2 linked regions of the Ovis aries genome follow. The protein of the gene in region 2 interacts with the protein of the main gene of each other region in a pairwise test. Links are inferred from orthologs where the notes say so. Each region holds a gene or a part of one and is shown on either strand. Other genes may lie near its edges.

Region 1 (4,722 bases), on a different chromosome or scaffold from region 2:
AATAATCGCCTTTCATTTTCAAGTAGAACACCTTACTTTCTGGTTGTGTAGCATTGGGAATAAGGTATTTATCCAACAGCTCCTAAAAAATGATCCACATTCTGTTAAGACTCTGGAAATATTACTTACAAGATGTTAAAACTATGTTTGAGATTTGAGATACTACCACTTCTAAATAATTGGGGGGGGAGGGGTCGTGATTACAAAATACATGATTTTCATCCAAAGTTTTTAAATAGTTTTTAGCCCAGGTCATAACAGATGCCAGTATCCATTAAAATCCACTCTGACGGTCCAATAAAGGGTTAAAGTACAGCCATACAATGGCATGCTACAGGCATTAAAAATGACGAGGCAGAACTACACTGATAATGTGGAAAGGCTCTCCACAAGAAGTCTGAGTGGGGAAAAAGAAAAACGGATAATAAATACCAAGTGAATCCTATTTTAATATTAAAACAGATATATGCACATGCATATAAATACCTAAGGGAAAAATCTAGAAGAATATTTATCAAGATGTTAACAATGGTTCTCTAAGTAATAGTATTAGAAGTGATTTTAAAGTTTTCTTATTTATACTCTTCTGCCTTGTGCTTAAAAAAAAATCGTATTAATTCTGTAATTTTAAAAAAAAAATCTTTCCACTTCAGAAGAAAAAGGGTGATAGTAGGGAGAAATTCCAAGAACTAACTTTAGAATCGCTCAGACCTGGGTAAAAAAATCCCTCCTCTGCTGCTTACCATCTGTATGACCCTGGACAAAGGACCTGATTGCCCTGATCCTGTTTCCTCAGCTACACAAGGGGAAGCCCAACAGCCATCTCCTAGTGCAGTTACGAGGATAAATGAGCCAATGTTCAGAGTGCTTAACACGCCGCCTGGCACTAGGAAGCACTCCAAAAGTAGCTAAGACTATTATTAATAATAAATTCCTTTAAACATTTATGCTTACAACAAAAGCAGTTGTGAAGGAGTCCACGCTTCGTATACAGAGCAATATTTTCGAAGAGTTGTTTTAGAATGTGGCATCCTGAAAAACTGGTTAAGAGGCAGTAAGTACCATGCTTTTCTTCACATTCTTTCAGATGCTCGTAAAAGCTGGTCTACCGTTCAGGAATTAGGGAACTTTCTTGCCTTGGGAGTGCATGCCATACTTCATCTGAGTACCAGATGTACCTAACATTCGGGAATTAGCGCACCATTAACAAACCCCCAAATGACCGACAGGCAACAAATTTAGCCACGACACTCTTATACCACGAGTCTAACCAAAAAAAAAAAAAAAAAAAATTAAACAGCAGCTTGATGCAAAAGCTTAGCAGTAAGGGGGACCGAATCAATCAGAGTGAGAGGATGCGGGGGCGGGGGGCGGTAGTCGTTTTAATCATCTGTGCAGACAGACAGGGTGCGACTCCTTATGGGTTGGACATGAGGAGTCCTGCCTGATGGCTAACAAGCTCTGTACTGGTTTTCAAAAGGTGTCAAGGGCAGTAACTCGGAAAGGCAGCCAGCAGGGGAGGAGGGAGATCCACAAATGTGAACTCCTTCTCCCTTCAAAGCAGCCCTCACCATTCATTTTTACCTGATTTCACCTGGAAGAAAGAGAGAGTTCCCAGTGGGCTCAAGACGTGAGGGAAAGACAGTGTGATCATGATTTGCTCTACGGTATGAGGCCCTCCCACCCACCCCCAGGTGATGGCTCGAGGGAAAGCAGCGAGGAATCAGTGGTCCAACTCAGGTTCATATGAAATCACGGCAAGGGAAAATCTCCATTCCACTTGTGATTTGCCTTTGGAAAGAAGGCCCAAACTGATGGACAGGGCTAACTTACAAAACTACCACTGTGCAGGGACCAGGGAGCAGCTGAGAGATAGGTCAGCTTTTGGCTCCCCTCTCCCCTCCCGGAGAGGACACCGCCGTCAGACTCCACAGAGAACAGCCTCTCTGTGGGTGCACCTATCGAAAATGCTGCCTCTCTGCCCTCAATTTCTAAAGAAAAGATGGAGGGATGTTGAGCAAACATTCCCGTTTTTCAGAGGTCTTTGGAAGAGAGAGGAAAATATCCCACAAGTGATGAGCAACCTCTGATCAGGTTAAGAGCTGAGGGAGAAAAAAAAAAAAAAAAATCACACAGTGTGCTTAAAACTTAGCTGCAAATGGTTTGCAGCTTCCCAGTATATTCAGCCACCTTTCTCTCAAGAGCTGTTTGAGAGGTGGCGTTTGTTCATGAAATGAACGCTATTAAGAGGTGTTCTTTAGAACAGGAACACTGGCCTCTTACCAGCACGTCATTGCAGATGTCCTGCAGCTCAGCCTCGATCTTCTCGCGGTACTCCTTGCCCATCTGCTGCTTCTTCTCATTCCTCTCGGTTTTCTGTTCAATGCTGGAGATGACACGCCAGGATGAACGGCGGGCGCCGACCACATTCTTGTAGGCGACGGACAGCAGGTTTCTCTCCTCGTTGGAAAGCTCGTGCCCCTGCTCCGTGACCGCCTTCATGGCTGCAGCCATGTCATCGTAGCGCTCGGCCTGCTCGGCGAGCTTGGCTTTCTGTACCAGCTCACTTTTATCCATGGTCATTCCCTAAAACGAGAGGGAGAGAGAAAGTGAACATCAGGCTTCGAGGCCCAGGAGGCGCGTACGTGCCAATCTTCTTTCAACCCATCTGGGAGGAAACACAGCTAAATGGGAAATGTCTATTTCCAAATGCCTCCGGTAATACTTGAGCAGGAGCACCCACCGGGTTAGGAACTTTGCTAAAAAGGTGTTTTTACCTTCACAGCAGTCCTACAGGTAGATCCGTTTCCAACACTCCCTTCCCCCTCCATGAGGTGAAGAAGTAGAGGTTCAGAGGTGCCAACTGCTGTGTCCAGGGCAGCACAGCCAGGAGAGAGCAGAGAGCCAGAACCCAAACTCACGTCTATCTTTCGAGCTGTTTTCCTCCACTTTCCTAATCTGCCTCCTCAATGCCAGAGATGGCTCAATTCTTTAGAAGCTTATGTTAAACATACAGCCTTTTCTTCTTTCAAGAAATATCTGGTTTTCACCAAATTTGTTTTTCCCCATACTATAGGGAAAAACACCATGCAATGATTGTTTCATTAACCTTAAAGCAAAAGATAGGACTTTCAGTGTTATATTTGGCAGTGCCCATCAAGTGGTAGGTACCTTAAACATACAAGCCATTTTTATCCCATCGTCTGCAAAGTGCTAACTTTGGTACAAGGACACACTGTCCACGACAGCAGATTTGGCTCAACCTTGCACCAGCTCAGCTACTTACAAGAAACATGACCTTGGTCAAATCACTCAGCTTCTGAGAACTTCCGTTTGCTAACTGGAGAGGAAGAACACTGCCAACTCTCTGGGGGCTGCTGTGAGGCACAAGTGGCCTCATCTGTGTGAAGGCACCGTGGAAAGCCCAGGGCAGCGGTTCCCAGTTTCTGGCACCAGGAACTGATTTCGTGGAAGACAATTTTTCCACCAACCAGGGGTGGGGGTGGGATGGTTTCAAGATGAATTCAAGCACATTACACTTATCATGCAATTTATATCTAACCTGACGCCACCGCTGATCTGACAGGACGTCCCAGTCCATGGCCTGGAGGTCAGGGACCCCTGGTCGAGAACATTATATACAAATACCAGGCACTGACTCTGTACACGGTACAGACTGCGAGAGACCTGGGTGTATTCACCAAGACGCACAGCAACAGAGCTGTGAACCATAATTCAGTTTGTTTAAAAGTTTTCCTGAAACAGACAAAAATCTTGGTGATTTCAGCTTTTCATTTTCTCAAACCCTCTATACAGCAATCAGTGAATACCTCTTAAAATGATTCACCTCACCTCAGTCAATTCCCAACTATACTAATCACCATTACGGGAATTCCCTGGGGGCCCAGTGGTTAGGACTCTGCTCTCTCATTGCCAAGGGCGTGGATTTGACCCCTGCTTGGGGAACTAAGATCCCACAAGCCTCAAGGCAAGGCCGGAAAAAAAAAAACAAACAAAAAAACACCAAGGCAAAAATAGCCACCATTAATATAATGCAATAATTTCTGGATAACATGTAGCTAAAAAAAATATTTATTAACCAGTAAGACATAGTTTCAGGCACTGCTGGTTTAAATCTCAATTGTATTCACCTATTCCACAGTGTTAAAATACACTAATATCTTGAGGTAGAAAAAAAATAAAATACTACTTATAGTATTTTATTTTATAACAGTAGTGGGAATACCAGTGTTTTTTTAAACAAATGCTCTCATTACTTTATACATCATACCACAATTTAAGACTCTGGTTTTGCCTTCACAGCCATTTTTGTATTTTCAAGAGAGAAATTCTACAGACAAGACTCTACCACATGAAAAGGTCTTATTAAATGAAGGACAATTTTAAGATACACCCTAAATCTAGACAATTTAGAAAGAGTTGGTGCTCCAGTTCAGAACTGTGAGTTTTCTCCCCACCTCTTTTTATCTAAGTCATATTAAGAGTTGTGTCCTATGTAAGGCTTGCTGACTCGAATCCTACACTGTAAGACAAGTCTCACCTTGACCTGTCTGACATCTTCACCCACATGACTAGAATAAGCCTACAGCAGAGATAACAATTCATCTGCTCACCTACATCTCCCAGCAACCCCCCTGTACTTAGGAGGGGTCATATGGTTCATTCTGTTCAGTAAGGATAAATGTTGAAACTGCGAAAGGC
Region 2 (4,327 bases):
GTGGCAGAGTCAGAATCTGAACTCAGGTCAGTCTGAATCTGAAGTGCAGTAATTTAACCAGTAAGACCCGCTGCTTGGAGGCTGCTTTATATTCTGTGAACTTCCTGGAAACAGTATATTTTATATTAGAGTTTAGCACAGTTTGTTTCCCCATTTGATTTTGTGGCTAGATAATACTTTTCCATTCTGTAATTGTATCCTTTCTGCATTTTCAAAATGCAGTCGTTATATATATATATGACCTCACACAAAATCTTGTTTAGTAGAATCATTTTGCTTACGTGCTATTTCTTTTTCCCTCAGAAATCCGAGCTGTTCCACTTGTTAACAGAGAGCGAGGACGATTTGAAGACTTAAAAGTTCACTTTTTGACAGTTCCTGAAAACGAGATGAAGGAAAATCTCCTGAAAGAGTACTTGATGGTGGTAGAAATCCCCGTTCAGGGCTGGGACCATGGCACCACCCATTTAATTAATGCTGCAAAGTAAGCAGTTTGTTTTTGGCTCTTTCCTGTGTCATCTTTAAGCTGCTTCTGCCTCAGAGACCAATAGTAAAGTTATTTGAAGCCAGTTTCCTCCAACGTGAAACAAATTTAGGGGCTTGTGTGTGTCAGAGACAATCAGCTTAAGTGGCACTGACTTTGGTTTTCAAATGAAAACAAGGAATTTTTCCAGAGGCTTGTCCTGTGTATCTGGATGCTTGGAAGCCAGCACGGTGGCTTCAAAAAGTGCGTTCACATCAAGGATACTTTTTTTTCTTTTAATTGCCCTAGTGCTAGACTAACAAGTGAAAATTCTTAGAAACAAAAGCCTCATTCTCCTGGCTTCTGGGTAAGGCAGACACATCACATGCAGGCTGGGCTGTAGAATGTGTTTCTGTAGCAGCCACATGAGTTGGCCACGTGGATCAGGGAGGAGAGACCCAGAGTGCGGGTTTATAGGTATCAAGATTGTAAACACTGGCTTGATGATAAAGAGATGCCTGTTTCCTAGAACTTGAAGTGCACAACACCGAGAAGGCCTAAGCTAAACAATTTCTCAGCGTGGAGATGAACAAATTTCAGTGAGTCAGAAGTCAGCACGGAGTGCCTGTTGGTGCGTCCGCCTCTTAGTTACTGCTCATGGCAGTTAACGCTGATAGGCACCAGACGCACATTTAAAATTAATAGCAGCAAAATACGGAATGCAACCTTCCCGTATAGTTTGTGTTGGAAAGTAGACTTGTCCCAAATGAATACCCTGAATAATGTTTCAGTAGAAATTTGATCTCTGAGAATTTAGATAGTAAAAGTAACTATTTCAAAGAGGAATAGAGTAAGTAGAGAAGCAGTCCCCAAGTAACCCCTTTCTTTAGCATTATCTGTAATTTGGGGTGGACCACAATTAATTAAATGAGACTGATTCTCAGAATAGTGATGTCTTCTCAGCATTACTGGACTGTGTTACGTTAGAAGTGCAAACTATCACAGACTGCATTTCAGTAGGTGGGTAGAAAGTTATTGCCACAATCCATATTTTCAGTTTGCTCTATGAGCCAATGATATAAAATTGTGTGTGTATGTGTGTTTGTGTGTGTGTGTTTGTGAAGTCTCATATTTTTCCTTTTGTTCTTTAGGTTGGACGAAGCTAACTTACCCAAAGAAATAAACCTGGTAGATGATTACTTTGAACTTGTCCAGCACGAGTACAAGAAGTGGCAGGAAAACAATGAGCAGGGACAGAGAGACACACACCCCCAGAATCCTCTGGACCCTTCCATCCCCCAGCTTTCTCTCATGGAAATCAAATGTGAGACACCCAACTGCCCATTCTTCATGTCTGTGAACACCCAGCCTTTGTGCCACGAGTGCTCAGAAAGGCGGCAAAAGAACCAAACGAAAGTCCCAAAGCCCACCTCCAAGCCGGGCCCCGAGCTGCTCCCCGGCCTGGTGCTTGGGACCTCCCGGGGGGAAGTCTGGAGTCCTGCGGAGCCTGCCGGAGGCCCCCACTCAGCCCCTCCGACGGCACCCAGCCTCTTCCTCTTCAGCGAGACCACGGCCATGAAGTGCAGGAGCCCCGGCTGCCCCTTTACCCTCAACGTGCAGCACAACGGCTTCTGTGAGCGATGCCACAATGCCCGGCAGCTGCCAGCAGGCCACCCTGCGGACCCCACACGGCTTCCTGACCCGAGTAAGTGCCGAGCCTGCCTCCAGGATGTCACCAGGACGTTTAATGGCATCTGCAGTACTTGCTTTAAAAGGACTACAGCCGAGGCTGCCCCGAACCTCAGCTCCAGTGGCTCCCTGTCCTGCCACCAGCGCTCCAAGTCTGACCCCTCACAGCTGGCCCAGAGCCTGTCCCCACACGCCTGCCGCAGAGCCGGGCCCGAGGCGCCCTCTGGTCACCACTCCCCGGCCACAAGGACTCCAGGGGACAGGAAGGGGACCAGCAAGTGCAGGAAAGCGGGCTGCATGTACTTTGGGACCCCAGAGAACAAAGGCTTTTGCACGCTGTGTTTCATCGAGTACAGAGAAAATAAACGTGAGTGTCATGATGGGTTTCCTCTCCTCTGCTGAAAAACTCCCGAGTAGAGGGCTGTATGCCCCTTAACTTCAAGAAGGGAGCCCCTCTGGGCCATGGGGGGGAGTGTGGCTTGCCTGGGGGCAGAATCCCAGTAAGTCTTCCAGCACGCTTGGAAGTAAAAGCACAAAATAGCATGTTCCAAGACCCACAGAGCTCTGTGCAGAGTTCAGAGAATTTGTTTTATAAGGTCATGCAATGCAATGTTTGTAAGGTAGAGTTCAAACAAGACTTCTTTTGAAACTCAAGCGAACTAGAGAAAATTCAAAATCTGAAGAGCAGTAACTGAAAAGAGAGCTTCCCTGGTTTCTCCAATGGTTGAGAATCCTCCTTCAATGTGGGAGACCTGGGTCTGATCCCTGGGTTGGGAAGATCACCTGGAGAAGGGGATAGCTACCCACTCCGGTATTCTTGCCTGGAGAATTCCACGAACAGAGGAGCCTGGTGGGCTACAGTCCATGGGGTCACAAAGAGCCTGACATGACTGAGCGACTAACACTTTAGGGCTTCCCTGGTCGCTCAGAGAGTAAAGAGTCTGCCTGCAATGCAGGAGACCCAGGTTCAATCCCTGGGTCAGGAAGATACCCTGGAGAAGGAAATGGCAACCCACTTCAGTATTCTTGCCTAGGGAATCCCATGGACAGAGGAGCCTGGCGGGCTACAGTCCATGAGGTCACAAAGCGTCAGACATGACTGAGCGACTAACACGCACAGACAGCTGGAAAGAGGGCGGTCTCCACTGACTACATAAGAATGCCTTTGTGGTTTTAGAAATATCAAATCTGAAAGAAGGATGGGCACTTAATGTCTCTGCTTGTTCTGTGGCTGTGACCTACCCGTTCAGCATGTTCCAAAGGGAGAGACTTGTAGAGTCAAAGATGTTTTAATTCCAGTGTTATTTTTGTTGTTTAGTTTGCTGCGTGTCTGAAAAGTTGCTCTCCTAGAGTGCAACTGGCCTAATCTGTGTCAGAAAACTGTCCTTCTGCTGGGTGGCCCATACGTTTTCCTGATGAGCCTCCACTCTCTTGCAGATTTAGTCGCTGCCTCTGGGAAAGCCAGTCCCACAGCCTCCAGGTTCCAGAACGCAGTCCCCTGCCTCGGCAGGGAATGTGGTGCCCTTGGTAGCACCGTGTTTGAAGGATACTGTCAGAAGTGTTTCATTGAAGCTCAGAATCAGAGATTCCATGAAGCAAAAAGGACTGAAGAGCAGCTGGTGAGACCTCTCGAGGGACTTCCCCGTCTCCTGCAGGCCCGGCCTCCTTCCCAGGGTGATAAGCGGGCTTTTCTCCCTGCTGAGTTCCAGGGAAAAACCAGGGGAAAAGTCAGCCTGGCCCCCAGGCTTGGACATGCAGCAGTTCCTATTGATTTTCATGGCCTAAGTTTGCTTTTGAATTCATTTGAAGAAGCAAATGAAACTAGCCGTGGAATAAAACCCATGAAAGCCTCTGAGAAGCCAGATGGTGATCAGAGACTTCTTGGATTTGTAGAAGTACAGACCTCCTAGTGGCCAGCAGGCTTCCTTAACTAATAACAAATCCTCTGTCATGAGATCCAAGGAGGAAGCAGATCACCCCAGGTGCCTCCACTTACTGGCCAAAAGAAAGCAAGCATTTACTGACAGATGCCTTCCCTGTTGGTTGTTGGATGGTAGAGAATCTGTCTGAGTGAGGATAGCTTAGTATTCACGCAGTTACTATTCATGCAATTACTATTCACGCAGACAGAAGCTAGCCTCTGTGTTAGGGTTGGTGGTTCCCCTGGGCCTCCGT

The links.
Region 1: the proteins of TNFAIP3 (region 2) and YWHAB interact in a two-hybrid assay, tested with the Homo sapiens proteins (2 studies listed by BioGRID). The link is inferred for Ovis aries from reciprocal best matches to the Homo sapiens genes TNFAIP3 and YWHAB.

What each region holds. Positions count from the first base shown.
Region 1 is NC_056066.1:73,254,399-73,259,120, reverse strand, and holds part of YWHAB (14-3-3 protein beta/alpha), read right to left. Parts: intron 2,587-4,722; 5' UTR 2,584-2,586; coding exon 2,284-2,583; intron 83-2,283; coding exon 1-82. UniProt on the Homo sapiens protein: Adapter protein implicated in the regulation of a large spectrum of both general and specialized signaling pathways. Binds to a large number of partners, usually by recognition of a phosphoserine or phosphothreonine motif.
Region 2 is NC_056061.1:63,034,695-63,039,021, forward strand, and holds part of TNFAIP3 (tumor necrosis factor alpha-induced protein 3), read left to right. Parts: intron 1-303; coding exon 304-484; intron 485-1,614; coding exon 1,615-2,519; intron 2,520-3,589; coding exon 3,590-4,062; 3' UTR 4,063-4,327. UniProt on the Homo sapiens protein: Ubiquitin-editing enzyme that contains both ubiquitin ligase and deubiquitinase activities.